Kluyveromyces lactis: one gene and its partners. The protein of the gene in region 2 purifies or fractionates together with the protein of the main gene of each other region. This does not show direct contact. Links are inferred from orthologs where the notes say so. Each region holds a gene or a part of one and is shown on either strand. Other genes may lie near its edges.

Region 1 (5,313 bases), on a different chromosome or scaffold from region 2:
CCTCTACTCTTTTCTTTGAATGAAACCAAATTTAGTTCGCAGCTGATCTGGTACCAGATCTGGAAGCAAACAAATATAAAACAAGCGAAAGTATAAAAAGCCCACAAATCAGAAACTGATCTTTTGTCTAGCGTACCCTAAAACTCATAGGTCTGTTGTATACACCAGGAAAACCTCAAACAATTGTTCCAGTAACACGCTCTTCTTACAATGCAAACTCTCTGTGATTCTTGATTCTCTCTATTCTTATACGATTCTGATTCTTCCATACTATTCGAGGGATAATGAAAAATAATACTCAAGAAATACGTAGACGCCCGCGTAGGAAATATCTGCTTTCCTATTGCCCTGCCTAGCCAGACCGGGGGCGCCGCCCGCGGTCTAGGCAGATCAGATGAGCGTAGACAGGAATTTGAGAAAAATGATTCAGGGAAAACCAGGGTTGCTCACGTGCCGGACAATCTGTCTGGACAGACATTTTTCACGATCGAAATAGCTGTTAGGCAGAGAAGTCCACCGTGGCCAGGATTATTGTCCGGCACTTCTAAATCAGGACGAGAATGTGAATCAAAAAGAGGGTTGGATTGAGCGAAGAGGCTGGATCAAAGGTACTGTAGTCACCTGCAACAGTTCTAATATGAGAATCTGTATAGTGCTACTTTCAGTATCACTATAACAGTAATTTAAACGAGACTCAAGTTGGATCATTAATTGGCAAAAGCTTTCTGTAGATGCAGAACAGGGGGAAAGAAGGTAAAGGTTAATGGGTAAAGGGGCTGTCCGTTAGGACAAATTTCAATACATACTGGTGGGGTTTGGAAAAAGCACTGATTGCTTACGGATCAGTTTCTGTGGTGAAAACTAGAACGTAGATCCAGAAATCAATTTGATCTGGGGAACTACTTCGTTTCCAGTGGGATCAATGATGTTCTTTTCCTGAACAACGTCGACGCTAGTATCTGTATATGGACCAGTGCTAGAATCTGACCTAATAAGTGCTGTTTTGAAGGTAAGTTTGTGTATATCAAGCGCAAAGAATGTGTATGTATAATACTGAATATATATATATATATAGATAAAATTATTTGGTATGATTTGGTAGGGTAGTACCCTACTTTATTGTGAAACAATAAAGATGAATACTTAGGGTAACCTGAGGGTCCAGAAGGTCAATTGACACGACGTGTGAGTAGCAATTAGTTCAATGCATTGGAATAGCTGGTATCTCAACGGCAGCGAGGCATGAAATTGTCAGTCTCATTGGCTATAATTCAGTATTTAACGCTAAATATATGATTAAATAATGATGATTTAGCCAGTACTTTCTAATAAGGGAACTCAGTTCTAAAATGAAATAGTAATATACAATAACGTAGCGGAGTGGGGGGTGATGCAATAGGGAATAATTGAGATGAGTAGGAATTTTGGTAGTAATAGGTTGTACTTGTTCTTACACAAGTAGCACAGCGTTGACACAACCGTCTCTATCTGGCTCATTCGTGATTTGAGCATATTTACCCCAAACCACTTTACCACCAGAAGTAACCATACCTAATTCCGAGACGTTCACTTCAATAATAGTACCCTTGGTTAATACACCCAACTGTGTGTACATTGGCGATTGAGGATTCTTCTTCACCGCAAGAATTGGCAAGAAAACGGTGACTCCAAGTTCCGGATGCGTCACATTAGCCTTCTTTTGTCTCAAAGCACTAGGTCTGATAATCCTTTCCATCTTCACAGGCCTTCTTGTAAACCCTTCACCAACAAACGTATGTTTCGTGATCATTCTCTTCCATGCCTTAGACTTAGACTTACCTGTCTTAACAACTTTGAACATCTCTTCCTCACTGATACCTCTGACCTTAGGCAAAGGAACAGAAAACTTGTCAGCCTTCTCCAAACGCTTCTGCTTGATGGAACTGGATATAGCCTTTGCAGTGTTGTTCTGTTCTCTGTCTAACAAATAAGTAGGCAAAGCCTCCCCGTTCTCATCCAACGGTTTGGACCCTCCTTTAACTTTACTCTGCTCATGAGCACGGATCTTCTTCTTCATAGCAACCTTCTCAGCATAACGCTTCTTAGCAAATTGCTTACCCTTCCAACCAGTCAATTTCTGAGCCTTTTCAGAGATCTTATGAGCCTCACGGGCTTCTCTCTTACGTTTTCTCTCATCGTGGTCTAATCTACGACCATGTTGCTTGATGTGCTGTTCGATATATTCGTTTTGAGGCATCTTTGTTTTATTGTAAGAACGACTTGTTCGGTGATGACTTACTTCTAAATCACAAACGGACACACGGACTCCTTGAATGGACTTCTTACCACATGTTAACCCATGCGATGAGCTAGTTGTTCAAGTTGTCTTTGTATGCTTTTCTCATTGAAAGAAAAAAATTCAATAGGAAATGTCGAAAAGAAACGTAGTGAAAAAAAAAATTTGGAATCAAGCGATGAGATGAGATGAGATGGGTATCAGCCAGATACAAGTTTGGTTGTCTGGTGTGGGTTTGGCATAGGTTCGATCTACTGTTATTGATGTATAAAACCTCATTACATTCTATTGACAAGGGTTACAGCGGAAATATAGCCATGTCTGAGGAGTTAGGAACTGTTTTGAAAACGATTAGAGATTCTTTGAAATCTTGTGGAGAAAGCTTGGATAAGTTAGAAGAAGTCTATGATGATGAGGAGACCCATCCTTTCCAAGGTTCAGCGGTGGTAGGTCACAAAGGTGATAAATTAGAAAAAGTTTCTCTACTTTCTTTGAAGAATGGGAGTATGCTATCGTATTTGAATTCGCTTCTGTTGGTATTGGGACAGAAATTGAATAAAGAGATGGTTGTTGATGAGGGTAGAGTCAGGGCAGTGGAACAACGAGTTGTTCTTGAAAGAGGTGTGAAGCCCTTGGAGAAGAAGTTAGGGTACCAGCTGGATAAATTGACGCGGGCGTACATTAGACTGGAGAAAGACGTTGAAGAATCCAAGAAAAGAGCCGAATTGCAGGGACTGAGTGACGTACGTGCTTCCCAGGAAGAAGTATCAGACTCAGATTCTGATAGTGAAGAAGAGATGCAATATAGGCCGAACAGTTCAGGAATGGTCAATAACACATCAGTTGGAGGGAAAGCCAAGGGGAAAATCGCTGTCAAGAGTACTCACAATGAAGAAGATGTGGATGATAAAGATAACGTTTATAGACCACCTAAGATCAGTGCCGTTCTGCCACCAAAGCAACATCACTTCGAGGATAAATTCAACGCACAAGAACATAAGGATAAGAGTAGCAGGTCTCGTATGCAAGCTATGGAAGAATACTTGAAGGATTCCTCGGAACAACCGGAATGGGAAACTTCTATCGGTGCCAATATCGTCAACCATGGTAGAGGTGGTGTGAAGACAGCAAGAGATACAGAACGTGAACGTGATGTTCAAAGATTCGAAGAAGAAAATTTCACTAGATTGAACCCCAACGGATCCAAGACTGACAAGAGAATGAAAAAACAAAGAGAAATCATGGCCAAGGTTAATATGATCGCCGGTGAAGATTTCAGTATCTTCAACTCCAAGCGTAAGTTGGAGGATAGTACAAGCAGAAGAGGTAATAAGAAATCTAGAAATGCTTGGGAAAGAGCCAAGAAGAAGTTGTAAACCTGAGGTCCTTCTTTTTCTATGTATAAATAGGCTAAAATATCCATACGTCTCTATTGTCATCATATAGTGTCAAATACGTAGTTTATAAATCGAATGATAACGGTGTTGCACTGCTCAAACTCTAGCTTTGATGTGGTTTGTTTCGTTTCGTTTTGTCTCGTTTTCTTCATATCAAGGTGTAATCACCAATAATTAATTAATACAATCTAAGCGTTCCAACTTTGCAAGATATAATCACCACCTATCACCCCTACTAATCTCCTACCAGCGTACAACTTCCAGCGCCCCTGATGAAGAACGAATACACCAGAAAGAAAGTCTCAGCAAAGGATAGGAAAGCATGTCTGATATGTGGTAACCCTACAGTCACAGTTTTGTTCAATGGAAGCGGACCTGATTGGTTTTATACATGCGATATACATCTAGTTGATAACCCGCAGTTTGTACAGCCTCTATACCCAAAAGAGTATCACGAGTCTCTGGTTAGTCTTAAGCCACTCAAAGAACGCATAGAGGAGCTACAAAGGAAAGAGCGAGGTACCTGGGATCAATGGGTTAATAAGATCTTTGACTCTAAAAAGCCATCATCATCTGATGATAAGAAAGAGGACAGGGATGACGCGAGTTCTGACGACAAGAAGAAGACCGATGAAGCAAACTCACTTGAAGAATTGCAGCAAACGTACCAAGCGACACTTGATAAGCTAGCTGCATCAAGAGAGACGTGCAATAGATACACTCTACACGACCTAGTATTCCAATCAAGAGTCGACAGACTACGGAAACTGGCTCAATTAAAGGAAAAGAAACGTGTAGAGCAACAATCATACACCAACACCGACCCCAATCAACTATTACAATCGTTTTCGTTTCCTGAAGTCCCCAAGAACACCGTTAACAAGTCATGAGAGGACGGCCTAATATGCCTACCTCTTATGTCTTTTGTGCAATTCTATATCACGTGATTGATATCACGTCAAAAAGAAATTTCTGATCTTTTCAACTTTTCAATGAAAAGCTTTAAAGAAGCAGGACATAGTTAGATCCCATGCGATGAGCTTCAAACTAGAACAGAATACTTGCTGGTTTCAGGCGTTTCATCTCTGGTTTTTGCTATTTTAAATAATTTTGAACTTTAATTCGATACGTGCTCTAAAAAAAGGCTAGGAACTGTAATATCATGGCTAGAGTAAGAGGTAGAAAGCTAATAAAAAAGCTCAAGAAAGATGAGTTCCATCCAGAAGACAATAAAACCCATGATGAGCCTACGGTTAGCCATGTTAATGAAACTGCTGGGGGTGACAATAGTGATGTGAGTCCTAATACTTTCTTTGGTGTCCTAGATTCTGGCGAATTGGATTATTTTAAGAAGGCTGAATCCACGTTGGCTATTGATACATTTGAGAATCCAGATGAGAAGTACCAGTTTATCAACAGTGTCATCGAGGAAAGTAAGGGTAAAGAGTTGAAACTTGCTACGTCTCAGATTTCTTCTAAGCTAATGGAACGTATTATTATGGAAAGTGATGAAACTCAATTGAAGACTATCTTCAAAGCTTTCAATGGGTTTTATTTCAACCTTGCATGTCACAAATATTCCTCCCATGTTTTAGAGACTCTATTAGTCAGAGGTGCAGCACAGGTGGAAAAAGAATTGTT
Region 2 (6,315 bases):
ATGTTCTCGGCATTGAGAATAAGCATCAACGAAGTCTCATGGAGAGAGAGAGAATGAGAAGTCACAGATGAACATTCATGTTTTAAAACCGAAAAAAACAGTTATCTGAATAGAAACCATACCGTGAATGAAATGAATAAAAAACACTTGTATCTAAAAGGTGTTTTTTTATGATTTTGGTACTTTAATATTGATTGGTGGAAAATAGCAGATGCACTATACAAATAGTATCATCTTGTGAACCTTATAGCATAATATTGTGAAAGGGCAGTTTATAGGAATATAGTTGTCTTTCGAAAAGGGAAGAGTAGAGAGATGGGAATAAAAAAAAGGATAAACGCAAAGAAGTTAACTTTAACGTTCAATTACCTAATTCGTTCTTGCTCTAATCTCTGAAAGCAAAGCTCTTCTTAGCAAAATCCCAAGTATCTTCTTGCAATCTACCTCTTAGGGTTGGAGTTTCAGAACCTGGAACGTAGACATCCTCGAACAAGATGGACATCTTAGCTTCTGGAGCTGGGGCAGCATCAGCTAATTCGACTTGCTCATCGACGTACTTTCTAGCAGCCTTGTCGTAAGCCTTAATTTCATCTTCCGTGGCGATACCCAATTCCAATAAGTGCATCTTTAAACCTGCAATTGGATCGTTCTTAGATCTCATGTGTTGGATTTCATCTCTGGTTCTGTAAGTAGTACCTGGATCAGACATAGAGTGACCACCATATCTGTAAGTTTCGTATTCAAGAACGATTGGACCGTTACCGGAGACAGTCCAGTCCTTAGCGAACTTGGAAGCTTGGTAAACAGCCAAGATATCCATACCGTTAACCTTCAAACCAGGAATGTATTGACCACGCTTGAAGTATTCAGTCATGGCTGAAGATCTTGCGGCAGCGGTACCCATACCGTACTTGTTGTTTTCACAACAGAAGACGGCTGGTAAGTTCCATAACTTGGCCATGTTGAAGGATTCGAAAACTTGACCTTGGTTAGAGGCACCATCACCGTACAAGGCAAAAGAACAAGCATCTTCGTGTTTGTATTGATGAGCGAAGGCCAAACCAGCACCCAATGGGACTTGGGCACCAACGATACCATTACCACCGTAGAAACCAGGGGCGTACAAGTGCATGGAACCACCCTTACCGAAGGACACACCAGTTCTTCTACCCATCAATTCAGCCAACACAGCTTGAACAGCAGCACCTCTCATGTAGGTGAAACCATGACATCTGTAAGAGGTGATGACGGTATCACGCTTAGTGATAGCGTTTTCAATACCAACGGCAATGGCTTCTTGACCGACAGAGGAGTGACAGAAACCTCTAATTTTCTTAGCCTTGTACAAAGCGTCACAGGCCATTTCCATTCTTCTAACGATAATCATATCCTTGTACATTTGTAGCAAATTGGACTTGGTGGTTTGATAACTTAATTCAGGAACATCCAAAAGATAACCTTCAAAAGAGGTTTCTGGCAAATCAATTTGAACTAGGTCATCATCACCTGGCTTAGTTTCATCAGCAACCTGGGACAAAGCACGGACGTTTTTAGAAAAGTTTCTAACCAATCTCAAAGAGCTGGACTTCCCAACCACAGAGGATTGAGCTTTCAAAGATAGCATGGTTTGCCTAATTTATTGTTCTTTTCGGTATTAACTACTATAGCGACCAACAATTAGAACACACAAATACACACTCAGCAGTAGTGATGGCAAAATATGTTGTATAGAGAAGAAATAAAGAAGAAGAAGCTCTGAGTTCCTGATTCTATATTAAAACAAAAAAAAGCCAACTAATGAACGATTCCTTGTTCCAAAAAATTTGACAAAAATCAATCAATCAATCAATCAGTCAGTCAATTAATCAATTGCTTGGCTCAGTATCACTGAAAGACCAAAAAAAGGTTCTTAATCACGCAACAACTGTTTCTCATCATATTCACAATTAAATCCGCCTTTAAATACTTGTGAACTTGGGAAAAAAACTTCAAAAAATTTCGTAGCCAGCCAGTCGGTATAGATAAGGGACTTGAAATAACAAGAAGTGGGTATAAGCAAGGTCAATTTTGCTCTAATTGGGGTCAAACTTGAACCGTTGGGTAGCTGATGATGCGGAGAGTATTGATATTCTACTTATTATGGGATATCTGACAGTTTCGTCTGGTGTAGGTAGAGTTTATTGTGCTGATTCAATTAGACAGACGGGATTGTTGTTAGAAAGAGTGGGAAAAGTGACGTGCACAGCGCGGTGTTTGGGTGGAACATGGGCAGCAGATCTATTACCCGGATAATATGCGGGTCATGAGTTCTAATGATACACATTACCCGAATATTAATACTTTTGGCGCACGTGATCAGAAAGTGATTTCTTTTTCATTCTCTTCTGATCGAGGTCCGGGTAATATTTTGGAAAATTTTTTGAAATATCTTAGTGCTGTGTGGCAGGAAAGGTTGTATCCAGGAAAGAAATTTGGAAAAAAAAAGTATCAGTGAAAACTTTAAAGCGATGAGATGAGATGAGGTAAAGAGAAACGAGGTACATACTTACATCATTATCATAGTGTATCGTTCCCTCCTTTGTATCAGAAAACAGCTAATACTAATAATTTGTGGATAAAATTATCCGTACTATGGCGTTACAAATCTCAAAGGAAGACACTCAGGTGTTATTGAAAGATAAGAATGTATTGATCGAACCAACAATTGAGAAATATAGAACTGCAGGTCAAATTGCTCAGACTGCTTTAAACTTTTTGATCAGTTTGATCAATAAGATGTATCATGAGAAGTCTATGGAGCCGCTACCGATTCATCAACTTTGTTTATTGACTGATTCGTTCATAGCCGATTGTTTAAGTACTAAGTTCAACAATAAGGTTAACGAGAAGGGAATCTCAATGCCAACTTGTATTGATATCGATGAAATAAACGAGAACTGGTGTCCTGAAGTGGATGACATCGAAAACTTGTCCCGTTGGAACCAAAAATCTAGATCTACCAAATCGATCGAGCTATGTAACGGTGTTACTTCTAGTTTGTCTGGGTTTTTGAAAGTTGGTGATGTCGCTAAGATCACTTTGGGTTGTCACATCGATGGGTACACTTGTAACGTGTCCCACACCGTGGTCATTTACCCAACCGTTCAGGATGCCCAATCTGGAAAATTGCTACCTGAAGCTGCTTTGCTAGGTGGTAAAGCTGATGCTCTAGCTGCCACCCATATCGCTGTTGAGTCCGTCACTAACTTATTAGCTGCTGCAAACGATTTGACCAAACTTCCAGCTGATTTCAACGCTACGAAGGTCACTGGTTCCTTGATTAGGACCGTAGTTGACACCATTGCTCAATCTTATAATTGTTGCGTTGTGCCTGGTTCTCGTATCAGAAGAATCAAAAGATTCCTTTCTGGTCAAAACGAAAATATCATTGTCGAAAGAGACTTCAAAGGTGTCATTTGGACTGAGTCTCATCAGGAAGCTGCTATGCTTGCTAGAACCGTCAATGAAACTGCTGTTGATGTCAAGCGTAAGAACCCATTTATCACCGAAGATACCGTGGTCCCAACAGATGATTTTACCGTTGTCAAGGGTGAAGTTTACATGATCGATTTGAAGTTGGCTCCATTGCAAGGATTGGAGCCAGGTTTGATCACTTTACACACTGTCGATCAATTCTCCGGTAAATCTGAATCCTCTGATGTGGTGGCTAGACCAGGTGCCATCTGCCGTGATTTTTCAAAGAGCCATGTTCTAAAGTTAAGAGCTGCTAGACAAGTGTTGACCAGATTGGATAAACAAGGTGTATACCCTACCAAATTAGCTCATATCGCTGATTCTTTCCCATTGGACGTACAGGAGCCTGATTTCGAAACCATCAAGCAAGAAATCAAGCCATTCAGATTAGGTCTTTCTGAAATTTCTAACAACTACCTAACAATCGACAGAGATGTCACCATCGTAAAACACGTTCCTTGGGCTAAGATCTTGGATCTAACAAACCCATCCGGTGTGTCAAGTTATGACGCCATGGCAAAGAATAAAGGTTTATACCCAGGTTTCGAGCTTCCTCTACCTAAACTAGGTTTGTCCAACCTACAGTTGAAATCCTTGCTAAAAAAACACTCTACGCCAGTTCCTGTGGTCCGTCAATGTGTCACTGTAGCCATCTGTGATGAAGAGTTGCTAAGAATCAGCGGAAACCTAAAATCTAACTGGGTTCATTCTGTTTACTCTATGGATACTGCAAGCAATATCGTTGCAGGTATATTCAAACTGGCTCAATTGTCCGAGGATAAGAGATTTGGTTTGAAGATCAGAGAAACTCAACCATGGAAAATGAAATTCTAATTTATTCATTACCAGTATTAACTACCTTCTTTGATAGAACTACTTCAACAGATAACAAATTCTATTTCATACACAAACACCCTTTTCGCATCTGCACACAATAACTCTACATTGATACACCAGTTCATATTATATTCAATACTCGTTTGATTTCGGTAGCCCAAGAGTCTTGTTCTTATGAGTCTTTATTCTTACCAACCAATTGCAACAAAAACAATGTATAAATAGCAACTTCTAAGTATCTTGTAGATCTGTACACTAGCAAAATCATAATAGAACTCAAGCTCTCAACTTTGTCATTAGTTCTTCTACTATTAGTGTGTTTGCTTCGGAAGGATTATCAAAACGTTCAAAATGATGGCGGCTAATTAGATTTTAGTATAAAAAGGATTTGGAGTCAGAAACCAAATCAACAAACCCAACTACCAATGAATATGACATAGCGAGATATCTAGTGCACATAACTAGGAGCGAGAAGGTGATCCTAAAAACCAATAACTTTGCATTTCATTCTACTTGAAACGTCCCATTCCATTTCTATTTAAGCTGTCATGTCTACAGAGACAGAAACTAAAACCAATGTGGTCAATATTGATGAGTTACAAAACTTCGGAATTAACGCGTCTGATATAACTAAATTGAAGACTGCTGGTATATTTACCGTTAACACTTGTTTGTCGACGACCAGAAGGAATTTGTGTAAAGTTAGAGGGTTATCGGAAGTGAAGGTAGAAAAGATTAAAGAAGCTGCCAATAAAATCATCACCATTGGCTTTATTCCAGCAACTCTGCAATGGCAGATTCGTCAAGCAGTTATGTCTATCTCTACCGGGTCGAAACAATTCGATTCTGTACTAGGAGGAGGAATAATGACAATGTCCATAACTGAGGTGTTTGGGGAGTTTAGGTGCGGTAAGACTCAATTATCCCATACGTTATGCGTGACAGCTCAATTACCAAAAGAACTAAATGGACCTGAGGGTAAGGTTGCATATATTGATACAGAGGGTACTTTCAGACCAGAAAGAATCAAGCAGATAGCACAAGGGTATGATTTGGATCCCGAAGTGTGCCTTGAAAATATCTCGTACGCCAGGGCACTCAATAGTGAGCATCAGATGGAGTTACTTGAACAGCTTGGCGAGGAACTCTCTTCAGGAGAATATAGACTATTAATAGTAGACTCAATTATGGCCAATTTCAGAGTTGATTATTCAGGCCGTGGGGAATTGAACGAGCGTCAGCAAAAACTAAACCAACATCTTTCTAGATTGAATCGTATCGCTGAGGAGAACAATATCGCAGTTTTCATGACCAACCAAGTTCAAAGTGATCCCGGTGCTTCTGCCTTGTTTGCTAGTGCCGATGGTAGGAAACCTGTCGGAGGACATGTCTTAGCCCATGCAAGTGCGACAAGAATATTATTGAGAAAAGGTAGAGGTGACGAAAGGGTCGCGAAATTACAAGATTCGCCTGATATGCCGGAAAAGGAGTGCGTTTATGTCATTGGTGAGCGTGGAATAATGGATTCTGATGAATAAGCCACTATGGGTGGCTCGTAAGAAAGACATACTTTCTATCGATAGAACGTTTTTACGAACAGAATAGTACAACTCTATAAACAAGTGACACACATCCATTTCCCTTACCACTTCGATAGGTGTTTTCTAATAGTCATATTCAAATCTTTCTGGCATGACAATGGGTGCGAATAAGGTCCAGCCGTATAAACCATAACAAATCCAAGCACTTATGATTTTAACCCATGAATAAAAGTATGTCCTGCCAACAGGAATAAAATCTCCAACATCATCTTGTGTAACATTTATAGTCAATAGGATCACAATCCATTGCGTAGCTAAAAAGAAAATGAAATGAAACAACGAGTAATTGTATTTTGTTACATTGAATTCATCATCATCACCATCTTCCCTACCAGAATCATTGACATGCATTCTTTGCTGCTCA
Region 3 (5,809 bases), on a different chromosome or scaffold from region 2:
GACTCTGATTGACAGTTACTATAGGGCGCTCATTCGAGCCATTGGAATATCAATTATTATTATCACTTAATTATGATAGAATGAGATGAGATGAGTAGATTTAGATGAAAGATAGATATACCATATATACATATATATATAAAAACGTATATTTGAATCTGTATTAGATCGGTTCTGGTTTAAGAGTGTACAAATACTGAATCAATCACTACATATCAGGATATTTCATTCGAGAACCGACATTATTTATTTTTGTCAACTCATATTTTAAGGTACAAACAGACAAACCACATCTACCCCCTCTCACCCGCCGCAAAGCAGTTAAAATTACCATGTCTACAGAAAAGCCAGGCCGTACCATATTAGCGTCTTCTATTTCTAAAACTTACGTTCAAGAAATTACTGGAAAGGTGGAAAGTCTCAGGAATATTAGACCAGATGGTCCGTTATTAGTTGGGTTTTTGGCCAATAATGATCCAGCTGCAGAGATGTACGCTTCCTGGACTCAAAAGACTTGCGAGTCTATGGGGTTCCGTTACGAGTTGAGAAGAATTGAAGATAGAGACTTCTTGGAAGAAGCTATCATCGATGCTAACCAAGATGATTCCGTTGATGGTATCATGATCTATTTCCCTGTGTTCGGAAACGCACAAGATCAGTATTTGCAACAAGTGGTATCAAGGGAAAAAGATGTAGAAGGGTTGAATCACGTTTATTATCAGAATATGTACCATAACATTAGATATTTGGATGATCAGAAACAGTTGAAATCGATACTACCATGCACTCCATTAGCTGTAGTGAAAATCTTGGAGTATTTGAAAGTTTATAACAATTTGTTACCAGAAGGGAACAGACTCTATGGGAAGAAATGTGTTGTAGTGAATAGATCTGAAATTGTTGGTAGACCTCTAGCTGCTCTGTTAGCAAATGATGGTGCTGATGTGTTTTCTGTTGATATCAACAACATTCAGAAGTTCACACGTGGGCAAGGTTTGAAGTTTACGAAACATCATGTAGAAGACTTGGGTGCATATTCAGAGGAGCTATTGAAGGAATGCTGTAAAGATGCTGACGTGATAATAACAGGTGTTCCTGGTGAAAAATACAAGTTCCCTACTGATTACATTAAAGAAGGCGCTATCTGTATCAATTTTTCCTCAGAGAAGAATTTCGATGAGTCTGTGAAATCAAAAGCATCGCTATACGTTCCAAGCACCGGTAAAGTAACCATCTCCATGCTGTTGAGAAACATGCTCAGATTAGTAGAGAACAAACAAAAATTGCAAAACCGTTCAGCCTCCACGAATTAAGGCAGTGGATCGATCAAAAAAAAAAAAAGAATTATACTCTATTTCACCTTTATCTCATATATATGCGAATGTGTATGTATATGATTAGATATGTATATGAATTATATTATACAGTCAGTTTTTATTGTCAATGGAATTTATTTCTTTTGCTTCTTAGCAGGTGGAGCATCGATATCTGTTGCCGTTACGAATTCTTCACCGTAAGTGTCATCGACATTTTCTTGATCAAGATCGCCTTCAACTTCTTCTAGGTACTCTTCCATATCCGAATCCACTTGATCGTATTTAGCCTTCAAACCCTTCATCTTTCTAGTTTGCAATTGACCCAAATCTTGCTTACCCACATGCACTCTACCGATCTTATCACCCATAGTATCGATCTCAACGTTCTTAGCAACTCTGACTTCCAATTGTCTAGGTTTCTTATGGGCTTCCTTGACCATTTCTGGAGATGGAGTGTGAATTCTTCCGATCTTGAAATCGAATCTTGGACCAATCTCTTCCAATTCCACTCTAGGTAACTTCTTACCACCTTGTTCGGACTTGTAAGTCTTCAAGTGATACACTCTGAATAGAACATTTGGTAATGGTTCACCGTCTTGGAAATCACCTTGGACAGTGATAGAAATGATATGTTGCAAACCTGCAACATCTTGCAAAGTGGTATTCTGACCTCTGAAAAAGTCAAGGAACAATGATTTGATATGCTGGTAAACTGGATGTTGTTCAAAGGCTGCACCTTGGAAACTGAACATTGGCTTTAACCCAACGTTAAAAGTTTGTTTTCTGAAATCAGACAAAAGTTTATAGTTTTCTGCAATCTGCAACTCGATAATATCATAGATCTTATACCCAAACGTACGAATAAAAGTCAAATTGTTTCTTCTCTTCTTAGAATGTGTGCTCAACACCATAAGCGATGTATCATTCTTTTCAGATAAAAACTCTAATGGTTCATAATCTTCAAAAGGTCTGATGTTGTTCTTCTTGGAGAATCTCTTGATATCAGGCTTCTTCAACGCACTCAAATCAACCATTGAATCATGCAACAACTTGGTAGAAGTTTGACCAGGAATGAATAAAGCTTGCTTTACATTCTCAACCAATTTTGCTTCTTTTTTATCCAAAGCCCTTTTAGCACGGGCATTCTTAGGCTTTACTGTTCTGATCATCCTGGTGTTTACGGTGTCTTGATACAAATCACAACAATTACACCTTATAGGATAGAAATCTGAGCCAAAAGATGAACTATGTAGACTGTAACTTAGCTCATCGCATTTAGCTCATCGCATCGATTTGTTCCAGTTTAAAGATTTAATTTTCCAAGTTACTTGATAAGTGAAAAGAAACTATTCCAAAGTCACGTGGCGGAAAATGTTTCACGTGACATCACTTATGACGATTTCTTTGGCGACAATGAAAACAGAAACATTGACCAAGATTTTAAACAATGAGCATCAGAGAGTCTATTTACCTTTATAATTACAGCAATGCAAGGTCAAGCTAGGTTCGGCTAACAAGGTAGTGGATCAATTGAGATTAGAATTTCAAAGTTTTACATTTGGTGATTCTTTTGGCTTTTTTTTTCAGTGTCAAGATAGTACAAGATGAAGCAATTGTTTCAGCTCAGGAAAGAGCTTAGTGTACCAGCAGCAGCACCAGAGGATTCAGTAATCTCTGCTGAGGAAACGACAACTGGTTCTGCTGTCACCAATGTACAATTTTCGAATGAACAAGTTATCACAGAGAATGGGAAGTATAAGGTATCGAAGTTAGCGCCAAGTTTAAGTTTTTTGCCCAGTAATGTGGAATTATGTTGTAGCGTTGATGCAAAATCTGGGTACGCCTTATGCTGCGATACTGATAATGTTTACGTTTGGCCATTTTTATCTTCTGAAACACACCCTAGTTTTGTAAGGATTCCATTACATGACGAGGAATATGAATCATGGTCCCGTCCTCCATTATGTTGCTTTACGTGGCCTAGTGTGCTCGAACGTGACTTGAAATCAAGCCCTGGCTTATTTTTAGTGAACAGTAGATCCGGTGACATTCAATTCTATGAAGATGTTGATACTGTGAGTCAAGTGGCAAGTTTCTTGACGCAAACCAAACGTCATAAATCAGTTTTAAAACTACGTGACGGTGAATATGTAGAGAATTTGATTAATGCAGAACCAGCTGGAATATTACTTTCGACAAATTACGGGCGTGTTGAGTTTTGTACTATAAGAGATGCTAACGGGAAACCTTTTGTATCGCTAAAACAAACCATAATAAAATGTCAAGTCGGAATCTTTTCATCCATGTCCAAATCAAAGAGAGTGGTATCTCTCAAATTGGGCGAAATCAGCGGTAAAGGAGAAAGAATAGTTTCTATTTTAACCCAGGGCGGGCGATATCAGGTGTGGAACCTTTCATCTGTTGGGAATTGTTACAAAAAGATCGATTTAAATGTACAGTCTGAAATTTCACAGGCAGTCTTAGAGCATTTCCCCTTGGCAACATCTACACTGAAACTACTCGATTGTCATCCTTTATCAGGAGACTCGGATGCATACTTGTTCTTGAGTTTCTTAGCGGAAAGTAACGAAACGCACTATTTACTATCAACCATCATTGTGGATGAAGATACTAACAGTTTCGCTATCTTCTCTACTTACAGATTAAACACATACACGCGACCATTATCAGATGAATTTGCCCCAAGACTTATAGTCCCAACTGCATACACCAAGGAACATTTACCGATAACGTCTGTTTACACTTTATTCTCTGATGCTGCTGTCCTAACTCAAACAAGTTCCAAATTGGACTCTAATTATCCATTTAAAAGGAAATGGGAGGACATTATACGGTTTAACAAAGATATGAAAGTTCTTGGGTACGATTGTAATTCAAGTTCCTTATACATTACTGATGGAAGAACATGTGCGTTAAAGTTGGAGACTTTTGAAAAATACGAAAACTCTGACTTCCAAGAAATTAGATTCATAAAGTCTCATGTGGATCAATACGTCTATTTTGGAGGACAATCAACGGATTCATTACTAGACTTCAACTTACCTGACAATCTAGATCTACAACCACAAGAAATTGAAACAGATATTCAAATGTCCAGTGATGAGATTAAATATGCATTATCAAACCACATACCGCCTGTTGCTAACAACCCCATGAAACACTTAAAAATAAGAAGCGAACTTTTTGAAAGACTTCTCACATTTGTTGCTCATAATTTTTTGGATCAAACATCTTCCCAATTCAAACTGGACTTGATTTCTGATTTTGAAATGATAAAATGTTTGGAAAGCTTGTACTCTTTACTACCGCAACAACCAACATCTATTTCACAAGCTTGGAAGACAGTACTATCAGAAAGTTCCTATCAATCGGATTCTGATTTTATCTCAGACGGCATTGTTAAGATTCCAGAATTATTGGGCGCCTTTTTGAAGCATTTGAAAGACCTAATGAAATCCACAAATGAAACTATGTTAAAATCTCAGATCGCAAAGCTTATAAATCAACTAGTTTATCATTCCATATTAGAAGAATGTGAAAACAGCTACAGGTATGGACTTTTCCAGATGAGCCCAGATGATGTATCAAAAAATATCCCTTGGTTCACAACAAATAGCATAATAGAAAATCTTAATGACATCTTCTTCTTGTTAAGGCATGCCTCTGAAGATCTTGCCGTTGTGTCAGAATTTGTAGAGGAATTACTGCTATTGGTTAAGTCTCTATTTTATATGGTCAGGCAAATAACCATGTGGATTGATGCAAATGCCATTACTGATTCTAGTTATAAACAGTTTTTCGAAGAAAATCATTTACTTTGGAATAGGGTCCTTAGGGATGTTAACAGGTCTCAGGATTCAATTCTAATCACAGATTTTTACCAAGACTTTGAAGGCTTAGTTGAAACTTTGCAATCTCTGCCAAAAATTACCGCATTCTCTCTATACGATGAATTCTTCCAGAAATACGGATACGACTTTGCAAAATCCTTATTTTCCTACTATATCAAGGAAGGGCTATGGGATGATCTTTACGAATCGTTTGGTGAAACCCATTCAGAATATTTGGACCAGTTCTTAGGAGAATGTCCCGAGTATGGCAAAGTTAAATGGATTGGAAACATATATTGCCATAAATACGACGAAGCAACTACAACTTTGTTGAGTATTTCTACTGGAACTCAATCGCTGGGTCAAGATTTGAAACAAAGACAGGCACAATTGAGTATTGCCAAATTAACAGCTCTTGCCGCGGAAGTTCAAGATCTTGAAAAGCTAAACGAAATTCAAACCGAATTAGATCTCATCGATGGGCAAATTCTTCTATCCCAAGAACTACAAGAATCAACTCTCAACCCACTATTCAAAGACTTTACCACCTATCGAACTTTGTTCAAATATTTGAGCGATGCTGTGAAGAGGAGAGAATCTCTCTCAGTGCCGCATATGATAGAATTATTCACACTATTAAAT
Region 4 (5,845 bases), on a different chromosome or scaffold from region 2:
CTCAACTACGAATTCCAACATGACGTCGAACCCATCAACACCAGAATTTGAATCAAATATCGTTGACGATACTACCAAGAAGACGCTTTACGATGACTACCTGTCCGTTAAGTGTCTTCAATGTTCTTGGGAACTTTTAAGGCGTAAAAAGCTACTAACAGACATGGCTCAGAAGAAAAATCTTGGTGAGACATCGAAAAAATTGAGTGGAGAGCTACAGACCTTCAGAGAGAATACCACACTTGCCGAATCTATATTAAACGACTACGATGTAGAGCTATCCAAGGATAACTTGGTTCTATCCGAATGGAAGAGAAAACTTTCAACGGATTATGCTAACAGAGTCAATAAGTTGATTTCCTTTAGCGATAGATTCCTATCAGACATTAATACAACGTTGGCACTAAGAGTCAAGATTCTACAAGAAAATGTCGAGAAAGTGAGTTCCATTAGCCATGTTCAGAAACGTGCATGGAGGAAGATAATGTACAAAGCCCTTGAATTTTTCATTGTATCGTGCTTATGGATGGTATGGCTGATATTCTCTGTCCTACGAATATTCCAAATGGGATTCATTATAGTGTTCAAAGTCGTCAAATGGGCATTATTTTAAGTGTTATAGAAGTGCGAGCTTACATAGTCTTTTTCCATTTGTGTAACCATATATTATTTAAACAACGTCTGGAATGTTATCCTGCTGTTAAGGCAAAAGTATTTACAAGGGAATGGGTAAAGTAAAGAAGAAACCCAATGATGGGGCTTTTCACTTCTTATCCAAAACACTCATCGAAGCGGCTTCTTCTTCTAAGAAAATACCTCTCTCAGCAGCCTCATCTAGTATCTTTTCTCTTCTCTTCATCTCTTCTGCATAGTATCTGTCTTGGAATTTGATCAATTGCTTATCAGCATTGAAAACTATCCCCATAGAGATCCAAGAACAGTGATAGAACACACGAACCTGGGTCCGCACGTTCCTGTACGTGGTAGAAAACTTCCTTAGTAATAACGCCGTTACTAACCCAATGGCTGCACCTTTCAAAGCACCAATACCAGACGCAATAGCTATCTCTTTGGTTAATTGTTTCACTGTGCTTGGATCATAATGAACAGGTTGAACGTTTCCCATAACGGATGAATTTATCTATAATTTACGATACGTATAACGGCAGCCACGTAAAATTTAAGCTCAAACAGATATGACTTGTCCTGAGGTGCCAGCTGTCCTAATTTTGCCATTCTTTTTTCCATCTCTGCTTTCGAATGTGTAAAAGGGAAGCTTTATCAAAGCGATAAATGCATCAGTTTTAAATAAAGAGTATGGCATGACATATGAAGTTAGAGAGAAAGGGAACAGAGGAACAGGGTGAGTGATGCAAGTTTTGTATTAGAGAGCTATATATGTATAGACAAGGATATATAGATGGCCATTATGATGTTTCAAAATATCTTCCTTTTTTGGTCTGTTTGTGGGCGTTTTCTTTATATATAATGATGATTCTATGATGAGGGTGGGTTCAGCTGTCACATTTGTCCCCGTCAGCTGCTAATGTTTAAGAACCCAACAGTGGACGGTTGTGTTTGAGACAGCGGGTGACCGTTTCTGTCCTGTGACATCATAGCGGCCGAGTTCTTGATAGTCCCTATCAGTTCCAATGGTTTCTGTAGTCTATTGTTCGATCTTCCATTCAACGTATGCAATACAGACTCCCAATCTTCTAAGTTGGAAACCACGGACATAAAGGATAAATCTGTGGATGCGAATTGTATACAACTGCACCAAATCTCAGATATTTGTTCAAAACACATATTCTTGTAGTAATTATTCGAAGCTGTCTCGAAATCAGGCAATTGGTTCAAAAAATCTGTAGAACAGTTCAAGAACTTCAATGATTGTAACACACTATCCGATTGTGGAGGGATGCTAGACAATAGGAAATCGATGACACAGTTTAAAAATTCCATGATTGAAGCCTTCATACGGCCAAAAGCATAATCGTTTAACAAACCATCCGAGCTTTGATTATACTTGGAATACGGAATATCCTCATACACCTGAGTCAATTTCTCCTTCAATACCTTGACGTACTGTTCCTTGTTGAAACTTATAGATTGTACCTTGGAAAACAGCGAATGCTGAATCTCTGGATGTTCCCTTACCAACGAAAGTAAGACAGACTGCAGTAACTGTTTATCCATCAATTCTACAGATCTCGGGAACGGAAGTGGCTGTCCTTGGATATAGTTCCGGTACACCGGTTTCTTTTTACTGACCCGTTGCACAACTTGAGACACAGGCCCATTCATCGAAACGTCTTCTTCTGTGTAACGTCTCTTGATTCTAGGCTTTGAAATACGACGTGAAGACGTTCCATGCGTAAGTCTATGCTGACTACTCTGAATATGACCATGAGCGCGCTCATGGTCGTTACTGATGTCATTGCTCTCAGTAGAGCTCGTCTGTTCTTGACCCATGTTCAAATTCTCACCAGAAGAAACACTGGGGCGAAATCCCCATTCAAACCCAACACTCTGGCTCATTGCAGTAGCTTAAAATCCTATACTGTATTGTGTTATTGAGACGCTTATTCCAGCACCAGTATCAAACCCTCTGGATAATGGATAACCTGGTTTCGTTGGGTAGTTTCCTTTATGCATTTGTGCAAAACTGATACAGAATGTTATAGATAGAATATGGAATTTGAACCAGTTTCCATAAGGCACTAAATCGTATATGGTGACAAAATTACTCAAGATTATCCGAAACTTGGTCATTAGAGCACCAAACCGGTTACTTGGAAGGCGTATTACTGTCCAATAATGATCGAAGGATAGCTATATGGTATCTGAACAGTACAAGCTGACTATAATAGTCCAATTAGACCATATTTGCACATTTGCGTTTCTTTTACGTCCTTTTCTTTCTCTTTAAGCACTGAAAAATTTCAGTTTAAAGCTCATCTCATCTCATCACTTGAAGATGACTTACTAATGCAAAGTGTATTGAAAGTTCATATCTGTTTGTTTCTGGCTTAGTTAAAGGATCGGAATACCACTGTTAATCCACAGCTCACGGAGAATTATAGTTGTTTACTGATTAACATGGACAACACCGAATTGAATACAGCGGACAATGTTCCTGAAGAAGAGTTCATTGCAGATGAGGAAGTTGGTGAAGAAGTTGTCTTAGATAACGTTGAACCTAGTGAGAATATTGGTGATGATGACGATAATGATCAAGAGATGGGCGGTTTAGATGGTGCTGAGACCCTTGAGATCGATATGTCTAATAATTCAAGTGGATTTTTCGATAAGCATACTGATTCTATATTTTGCATTGCACACCACCCTACTTTGCCCCTAGTGATGACCGGTGGTGCAGACAACGTAGCGAACTTGTGGACTTCTCATTCGAAACCTCCTAAGTTTGCTGGATCCTTAGAACATACTGAGTCTGTGATTTCTGGTGGGTTCACACCTGATGGGAAGTTTTTAATCACTGCAGATATGAACGGTAAGGTATTTATTCATAAGTCTGTGAAGGGCGGTGCTCAATGGAAACGTTGTAGCGAGTTAGAAGAAGTGGAAGAAGTTGTGTGGTTAAAAGTACATCCAACGGTATCGGGTGTTTTTGCATTCGGTGGTGTTGACGGATCGGTATGGTGCTATCAGTTGAACAACGTGGATGGGTCGTTGTCTCAGATCATGTCCGGTTTCTCTCATCAACAGGACTGTACCATGGGTGAGTTCATTAATGTAGAAGAAGGTGAGAACAATTTGACTTTGGTCACTTGTTCTTTGGACAGCTCAATTGTCGCTTGGAACTGTTACATGGGTCAGCCTTTGTTCAAGATTACTCAAGCCGATATTAAAGGTTTAGAAGCTCCTTGGGTCTCATTGTCTGCAGCTCCAGCTTCCCTAACGAATAACACTGCAGTCATTGCTGCAGGGTCAAATAATGGGCTGTTGGCCATTATCAACTGTAGCAACGGATCTGTACTACATTTGACCACAGTAATAGAATTAAAACCAGAACAAGATGAACTTGATGCATCGATAGAATCCATCACTTGGTCTAGCAAGCTGCCTCTAATGGCAATCGGTTTGGTTTGTGGCGACGCACTATTATACGATACAAAAACTTGGAGAGTGAGGCATAAGTTCCAACTTGAGGACTCTGCCACCAAATTACAATTCGACACTATCAACGGTCACAATTTAATTGCTTCTTGCATCAATGGTAAAGTATACATATTCGACGCCAGAACAGGCCAAGAAGTACACGTTTGTGTTGGACACAACATGGGTGTGCTTGATTTTGTCGTCATTGAGAACGGGTCCAAGCTAATCACTGCCGGTGATGAGGGTGTATCATTAATTTTCGACCTGCCACAATGAAATGTGGGTAGGATTATACTAGGAAGGGATCTTTCATCATAAACTTTTCCGATATATATTTTATTTACATCAATGTCGTATATATTCTCATCCCAATCATTTGTTTAAGGCATTTCTAACCTTTTCTTCGACAATCTTACCAATCAGTTGACTCAAAGAAGATTTCGAATCGGCAATTTGCGCTTGTAGATGCACTTCAATCTGCTTTTCGATAACTTTACCTGTAACATCAACTTCGACATTAACCAGATCGCCCACCTGTTTCAACGGCATGATAACGTGTTCTTGAGTGTGCTTTATCATTGCGATGTAAAAAGTCCCATCGTCGTCAATTGTAGTAACAGTTAGGGAAGTACCATCCAACGAGATGAACCCTTTCTCAACGATAAACTTCTCATAAGATTGTTCCCCCAGTTTGAATCCAAACACTATGGAGTTACCATCAACGGTGCGTGATTTGATAGTGGCTACTGTATCGACATGGCCTTGAACGTAATGCCCACCAAAACGGACATCCTGAGACACAGCTCTTTCGAGGTTAACCTTGGTTCCAGTCTTCCAACTGCTGATATCGGTTCTACTAACAGTTTCTGGTGAAATACCAACTTTGAACGAATTAGAATCGAATTCAGTCACTGTTAAACATATACCATTGCATGCAATGGAATCTCCGATATGACAATCACTCAAAACTGGGGCCGCATCTTTAATGGTCACCGAAACACCATTACCACCACTAAGAGTTTCGTCCAACTCTTTGTACTCAGCAACAGTACCAATATGTTCTACAATACCAGTAAACATTCTTGCGGTTATACTCGGCTATGTTTTGGTAAGTCTCTTCCTTGCCAACATAGGTTTCCTCGAGATGTACTTTCTACTCAGACATGAGATTTCTCATTTAGTCATACAGCCTGAAAATGTGAAAGAAATGAGGTGAAGAGAAGGCAGAGCATGGAGGGAACAGGAAGGCAATGAGAGGACCAGGAGTGATGCCTTCAGAGGTGTTCAAGGGCACCCAGATAAAATGGTATAATGAAGCGTTTGTATTGTATTTTTAAAAGTGTTTTTCTACTGAACTACATATTGATTTTAAACGTCCATTGAGTGTCAGTGATTCATTCTTTATATAGTCAAATGCCGTTACCATGAAGCTAAACTGTGGGAATAAAGGTTCAGATAAGCAGAGTTTGATCCGTGATATTCATGCAAGAAGCTCTTAAGCCTTAACGTAGGCAAACGGTCGTTTGTGCTATTGCGTCAGTTTTTTTCACCATTATCCAGCACTGACCGGAGAAGGTCATAGGAGAGAATGGAAGAGTACTAACAATGCGCAAAGCAGATAGGATGGTCTTAAACTAGAAGAACCAGAGTTTTCAAGCATAATTAGATTGTCATGTATATTGATTAAGACTTCTCTTTTATTTCCTTTTTTCTTTGCCGGACATGT
Region 5 (6,130 bases), on a different chromosome or scaffold from region 2:
CGACAGAAGGAAATATCTTCTTCAGAGAGTCACTGGCAGCTTCGGCCTTTGGTCGCCCACAATCTTCAAAGTTGAATAATGGTTGCCTTACCGGATTAGAGAAAGAGACAGTGCTGTTGTCGACAAAAGTTACATGACGAGTACCCCAAGCTAATAAAGCTCTAGCCACGTAGCAACCTAGGGTACCTGACCCCAAGATCAATGCTTTAATGTTCTTTATTCTTTCTAGATCAATGTCAGGAGCAATCCTCCATTTCATTAGCTTGAGATTGAGATCAATGGATTGTTCTGCTATCTTCACGGGATCCATCAATGAGCTTAAGTCAGCCGATTTCGGAGCTAATTTTCCAAGACCATTTTTCTCCCAACCGCTGACCTTAAGACATCCTGTATTGCTCCCGGTAACTCTGATCTCTGCCGCGAAGCTGGAATTATCATCACGAAGGAAACATATGGTGTACGTATTCCTTGTGGATATTTGACTCCAAACCGTTAGAAAGTTCTTAGTAACTGCGGCAGGAATGCCCTTCAGCCGACTGAAGTCCTTGAAGATGACTTTCTGACATACTTTGAGATACTGAGGTGATGCTTCCTGAATCTTTCCATCCACAACACAGGAGATAAAGCTGTTCTGCTCCCATATATCCTTCTTTACACCATCTTCGATTGATTTTGTTGAGATTATTTCGTACGATGACCCCTCAGACTGGAAAGTAGGCATACAAACCCAATAATAAAACTTATATTTCTTCAAATCGGCGAAGCTTATGACATAAAACCTAACACACTCTTTGAGACCATTCTTGAGGCCCTGTTCTAGTAATTGCTGTCCCTTTTCCTTGATAAACTTTACTTTGTCACAGGATTTGAATGATTCGATAGTATTAAAATTCAACACTGACCCTTTCAAAGTCACTGCCTCATTATTGAGAACAGGATCGAAACTGTCATCTCTAAGCGAGAGTGAAACAGTGTTAGAAGTGATATTTTCAAGGTCTAGTGCAGAGAACAATTCTTTCTCAGCAGAGTCTAACTTGAACACTTCAAGTTTTAATCTTGATAATTCATGGAAAAACGAGGTATCAACAAAAGACTTAAAAGCTGGTGAAAACTTAAGATCGTTAAGCATCTTTCCTGGTACTCAGGTTTTGTTCCATGAAGAAAGAATAGTACTTCTTGGTTTACTTTATTTATCTATGCACTGCAGTTAAGGGTATAGTGTATCAGGGTAGTATTACGAATCGACGTCTTTTTTACAAGAATGAACTAAACTCAGGAAAGCATTGTTACCCTGAAACATGCCAATTATTAATATTCACTAGTGTACACTATACAAGACGGCCATTGTATCATTGATCTAATGCAGATGATGAGTAAATTCAACTAACTTGCCTATCTCGTAAATATATATTGTAATTATTGTCCAAACAAGAAGAGACTAAACCAAATTCTATAGCATTTCTTCACCTTGTTGTTGATCTTCTAAAGTCATCTCATCCAACTCATCTAATAGTTCATCAATATCAATTTGTGGAGCATCTTCATCTTCATCTTCTTCCATCTCGCCTTCGTGCTCTGCTGGTTTGTTGCTCTTATATAGATTGATTGTTTGTCTCATTTCCTCATCTTCCTCCAATTCTTGTAGGAAAATCTCATAATCTCTTTCAGCACGTTCCATTTCTTGTTTCTGTTGTCTTGAAGTGTAGTCTTGAGAAGCTTCGATATCCTTGTGTTCCTTAGCCATTCTCTTCAACTTCCATTTTCTGTTCTTCTTTGTCTTTCTTTGATATAGTTTCTTGATTAGAACGATGTCTGGCACGTAATCAATATTTAAACCATCGAAGAGCTCTGAGTTATAGTTAGAGTTAGCGATAAAGTAACCCATGACACTGTCACCAGGATGAATAATACCACCAAGATGTGTTCTAACGTAATAGACTTGGTCATTGGAGCCTAGATCGGAAGATCTAGCGACAGTAACGTCAGCCAATACCCATTTGTTTCTAACTTGACCAGTAGGTTCAACGTCCAATATGATGAATTCAACTAGTTGGGACACTTCAGCTAATGCACTGAAAGGTTCACGCCAGTACATTGGAGCAGTCAAATCACACGTTTGAAGAGTGGTTGGATCCAGGAACTGGAGAGAGTTAGAAACCTTGGAACAGATGACAAATTGACTGATGTTACCCAAAGACTTGGCAAGCTTCTTAGGTAAAACAACCAAATCATCTCTACAAATTGGAACAATTTCCACGGAAAAAGTGAATTTGTAAGTAGATGAACCGGTATGGATATCTTGAGAGATTAACTCCTCGGATTTTTTACATTTGATAGGTACGACAGCATTTAAGAAATCCAACATCTTAGCAGCATGGTTCTTTTGAGAATAGAAGAAATCTAAACCATCCTTTGCCTCACTAATGGAAATGGTGTCAACATGGGCATTGTGCTTCAAAATCAACTGTTCTAAATACAAGAAAGTTCTCTTATGAGGAACTTTTTGTCTAATTTGGACGTTTGCTCTCCATGTATTAGTGGTATAAGATCTAGCACAGTCCGGACATTGCATGGCAATCACCACATATTCCACTTCAAATGTTTGCTGGATAATAGTGTTAGCCATAGCTTCACCTTGAACGGTCAATTTGACCCGGATACGTCTAGAATGAGGTTCGGTCCAGATAAATGATGCATCCACTAATCGAACTTTGTTTAAGCCTTTCAAACGACGTAAACACAACGCCAAAAGTTCACGAGATTCCAAAGAAGCCCTAATCCATTGGCTTGGTGGTTGCAAGAACCTCTCACAGTTTCTACAGAAAGAAACATTAGCCTCTCTGGGAATACCTTCTGTAATATCGACATTCAACTTAATACAGTCGTAACACATAACTAGCCCTGAGGACCCATCCATAGGCACACCACAACTGCAACATAGCACTGTAGCATGCTGATGTTGCATGTGATTCTGATCTAACGGAGTGTAATTCATCGAGTTCGGTGGATACTTCTGCCCTTGCTGGAATACCTATAATGCAGACATTAATCAGCTTTCAAGCACTATCAGACTGTGCAAGAACAAGATGCGATGAGATGAGCTTTCTCAAAATTTTTCTTAAAAGAGACTGCGAACCCTCAAGAAAAAGAAATTTTGCACGTGACTTTGAACCTTGGATTTATGCATCTATGCATATTAAGCTAGTCTATATACAGGAGAATTACACTTTATAAAGAATGATTAACACGTTCAACGTTTGGATTTCTTTCCAGCAAATAGCAAGCCAAATTGTTTCTTGGAATGTTTTTGTACTTTAGGTTCCATATCTTCTTCATCCGAGGAAGAGTCGGAATGCGATGAAGTCGATTTGGTATAATATTGGTTTTTACTGTGGTCTTTCGAAACATTTGTGCCTCTCGGAAGCTCGTTACGTATCTTCTGTCTTTCCTGATTCCTTATCTTATGTTTTAACGAAACCATAGCCTGGGAGTCGTCTTTCCTCACTCTGTGTATACTGTTTCTCTGTTGCACGTCCTTGGTAGCTCTTTTCTTTTTGGCTAAAGAGCTGACCTTCTTATCACTTTTGATGAACTCTCCAATGGTATGTATATCGGTATCATCAGTACTTTGCGCGTTCTCAAATGATAAACCGCTTCCTATTTGAATGACAGGCAACTGGAAAAATTCCTTCTTTGATTCGTTGCTATCCTCCTTTGCTAGATCATTAGATGACGTCTTAGAATCCTCTATCCATCCGAGCACCTTAGCAGTGGAACTGCTAAACCCATTTTGAAATTTAGCAAGTAGTGCTTGCTTTTCTTTTATCTCCTGAGCTCTTGACATGGCTTGGTGAGTCTGTATTACTTGTTAGATTGTAAGAGTATACCTTTATGGCGGCCGATGCATCTCATCTGGTTCGATCTCATCGCTTCAAAGAATAAGTTACCATTTTTTTTTCAGTGATTACTCTCTAAGGAAGAATCAGAATTCACGTGACTGATTTTTAAATGGAATATGTGGATAGGTCTATCAACTATGTGAGTTTATGTACGTCTATGAGTCTTTTCTTTGGATTCATTCTTTCTCTTTTGGAGTTTCCTTCTTTCACCAAAACCTTCTTTATCCATGGCCATGAGACTTTCTCTTTTTGCTGCTGTAACCTTAGTTAACGACTTCCTAATCACGGCTGTATCACCTACATCGGTGAACTCTTCCATCTTTTTATTAATCCTTTCCTCAATTGCCTCTACTCTTTGAATATCCTTTTCTGTTACAAAACATAGTGATTCACCATGGCGTCCGGCACGCGCTGTACGACCAGCTCTATGAATGAAAGTATCTGGGTTGCCAGGAATATCATAGTTTACAACAAGTTCAACAATAGGGATATCCAAACCTCTAGAAGCGACATCAGTAGCGATAAGAACTCTCGCAGCTTGTGCCCTGAATCTTTGTACAGAGTTCGTTCTTTCTTGTTGTGGCATTTGACTATGAAGTGACGTGACTCTTACATCTAAAGATTTCAAAGTTCTTCTTAAGATTTCAGCCGTTACGGTACGATTAACGAAAATAATGCAACTTGATTTGACGTATTTCTCACTGGTCAATATCTGGTATAAGTATGACTCTTTAACGTGCTCTGGGACTAGCAAATATGTCGTCTCTAATGTCTTCGGAATGGCGACGTTATCAACAGACTCAACCTCAAAAGTAAACACAGGAGGTTTGCCCTCCGTCTGTGGAGCGTCTGATAAAGCTTTCACTTGGTCTGTCATAGTAGCAGTGAAAAGGAGATTCTGTCTTTTGTTTTTCGGTGGTAAAATACTTACACATGTAGCAAGGTCCTTACTGAACGTTTCCGTCAATAATATATCGGCTTCATCTAGTACCAGAAATTTTACTCTTTTTAGCCCTCCAATGGTATCTTCCCCGCTATTCAGGACATGGTGTGCTAATCTACCTGGTGTGGCTATTATGAAATGTGGTCGTTTCTGTAATTCGATAGCTTGTTGCACTATGCTCTCACCACCAACTACTATTGCGACTCTGATGTTCATAGCACTTCCAAATGCTGTGAACTGCTCTGCGATCTGCATCGCAAGTTCTCTGGTAGGTGTTAAGACGATCCCAAACATACCTTGAGGGTCCTCGGACCATTTGGTCAACATCGGAGCTGCAAAAGCAATAGTCTTACCACTACCGGTGTTGGCACCACCTATACAGTCACGCCCTTTCAAAATCTCAGGAATACAAGCCTTTTGAATCGCAGTGGGCTGCACGATTTTCATCGCATTTAATGCTTCCACTAACCATTTTGAACATCCTAAGGACTTGAACTCAGAATTAGACATCTCTTAATATAGATATTATAGTTCTTAGGTACTCTTGGCGAGGTTTATATACAAGTTACTCCTACTAACCACAGCCTTTAGGTCAAAGCACATCTCATCGCATCTGTATAGAAATTTTACATGTTAAAGACTCTTTCCGTTTTCTTTTTTCATTCAAATATGCACCAATATGGGATTTTGGGGGCCCAAAATATTGGATTTCGGAACAATATTCGAACATCGGAACTTAGAAAAAGAAGTAGAGCATGACGTCCAGTAAGGATGTGCCGCTTATTCGTGTTATATCTACAGTTTACCAGCACATTGTGCCATTTTATGCAGGAGTACATCAATATTTTCTCCTTTGAGAGCACTTATTGGTACGACATCCCAGTTGTTTTCTTGGCATTGGGCTTGGATTTTCTGATACTTCTTAAATGTAGATTTCTCATCGATATCAGCTTTATTACAAACCACTAGAATATTCTTCAATGATACAACCTCTTTGCCACCCACTTCTTCAATAAGTATTTGTAAATCTTGAGATGGATCATCCTTTTCAAGACTGATCACGAAAACCCAACCTTTGGAACGTTCAATGTGTCTTAAAAATTCAAGACCCATTCCCTTGTCCTGAGAGGCATCTTTAATAATTCCCGGAATATCTGCAACTGTGAACTTCGGTTTGTCAATCCCAAGTGAGATTGTTCCAATCGTTGGGTGTAACGTAGTGAATTCCCAATGGCCTACTCTAGGAGTAGCATTAGAAATCTGGTTTAAAATAGTAGATTTCCCGGCA

Evidence for each region. The genes of interacting proteins can lie anywhere in the genome.
Region 1: the proteins of ARX1 (region 2) and NSA2 purify together in Saccharomyces cerevisiae (affinity purification with mass spectrometry; 12 studies listed by BioGRID, with this or other methods). This does not show direct contact. The link is inferred for Kluyveromyces lactis from reciprocal best matches to the Saccharomyces cerevisiae genes ARX1 and NSA2.
Region 3: the proteins of ARX1 (region 2) and RPF2 purify together in Saccharomyces cerevisiae (affinity purification with mass spectrometry; 9 studies listed by BioGRID). This does not show direct contact. The link is inferred for Kluyveromyces lactis from reciprocal best matches to the Saccharomyces cerevisiae genes ARX1 and RPF2.
Region 4: the proteins of ARX1 (region 2) and SQT1 purify together in Saccharomyces cerevisiae (affinity purification with western blotting, with the first as the bait; 3 studies listed by BioGRID). This does not show direct contact. The link is inferred for Kluyveromyces lactis from reciprocal best matches to the Saccharomyces cerevisiae genes ARX1 and SQT1.
Region 5: the proteins of ARX1 (region 2) and NMD3 purify together in Saccharomyces cerevisiae (affinity purification with western blotting; 28 studies listed by BioGRID, with this or other methods). This does not show direct contact. The link is inferred for Kluyveromyces lactis from reciprocal best matches to the Saccharomyces cerevisiae genes ARX1 and NMD3.

The regions. Positions count from the first base shown.
Region 1 is NC_006041.1:1,204,384-1,209,696, forward strand, and holds NSA2 (rRNA-processing protein NSA2), read right to left. Parts: upstream 2,237-5,313; coding exon 1,451-2,236; downstream 1-1,450. Other genes in the region: small subunit rRNA maturation protein LCP5, read left to right, coding at 2,464-3,651; VFA1 (Vfa1p), read left to right, coding at 3,945-4,562; RNA-binding RNA processing protein NOP9, read left to right, coding at 4,835-5,313. UniProt on the Saccharomyces cerevisiae protein: Involved in the biogenesis of the 60S ribosomal subunit. May play a part in the quality control of pre-60S particles. Under normal, rapid growth conditions, high levels of NSA2 would allow the progression of pre-60S particles through the ITS2 processing.
Region 2 is NC_006042.1:1,096,738-1,103,052, reverse strand, and holds ARX1 (putative hydrolase), read left to right. Parts: upstream 1-2,631; coding exon 2,632-4,347; downstream 4,348-6,315. Other genes in the region: PDA1 (pyruvate dehydrogenase (acetyl-transferring) subunit E1 alpha), read right to left, coding at 386-1,624; recombinase DMC1, read left to right, coding at 4,899-5,888; TMS1 (Tms1p), read right to left, coding at 6,015-6,315. UniProt on the Saccharomyces cerevisiae protein: Probable metalloprotease involved in proper assembly of pre-ribosomal particles during the biogenesis of the 60S ribosomal subunit. Accompanies the pre-60S particles to the cytoplasm.
Region 3 is NC_006037.1:702,965-708,773, reverse strand, and holds RPF2 (rRNA-binding ribosome biosynthesis protein RPF2), read right to left. Parts: upstream 2,486-5,809; coding exon 1,451-2,485; downstream 1-1,450. Other genes in the region: MTD1 (methylenetetrahydrofolate dehydrogenase (NAD(+))), read left to right, coding at 333-1,313; NUP133 (Nup133p), read left to right, coding at 2,921-5,809. UniProt on the Saccharomyces cerevisiae protein: Required for biogenesis of the 60S ribosomal subunit.
Region 4 is NC_006040.1:1,331,032-1,336,876, forward strand, and holds SQT1 (Sqt1p), read left to right. Parts: upstream 1-3,099; coding exon 3,100-4,395; downstream 4,396-5,845. Other genes in the region: MTC4 (Mtc4p), read left to right, coding at 1-613; RCF3 (Rcf3p), read right to left, coding at 764-1,126; STS1 (Sts1p), read right to left, coding at 1,537-2,538; RIB5 (riboflavin synthase), read right to left, coding at 4,492-5,199; aspartyl protease BAR1, read right to left, coding at 5,696-5,845. UniProt on the Saccharomyces cerevisiae protein: May be involved in the late step of 60S ribosomal subunit assembly or modification in the cytoplasm.
Region 5 is NC_006037.1:458,123-464,252, forward strand, and holds NMD3 (ribosome-binding protein NMD3), read right to left. Parts: upstream 2,996-6,130; coding exon 1,451-2,995; downstream 1-1,450. Other genes in the region: ATG7 (Atg7p), read right to left, coding at 1-1,129; NOP19 (Nop19p), read right to left, coding at 3,251-3,844; ATP-dependent RNA helicase DBP8, read right to left, coding at 4,045-5,352; putative GTPase MTG2, read right to left, coding at 5,638-6,130. UniProt on the Saccharomyces cerevisiae protein: Acts as an adapter for the XPO1/CRM1-mediated export of the 60S ribosomal subunit. Unlikely to play a significant role in nonsense-mediated mRNA decay (NMD).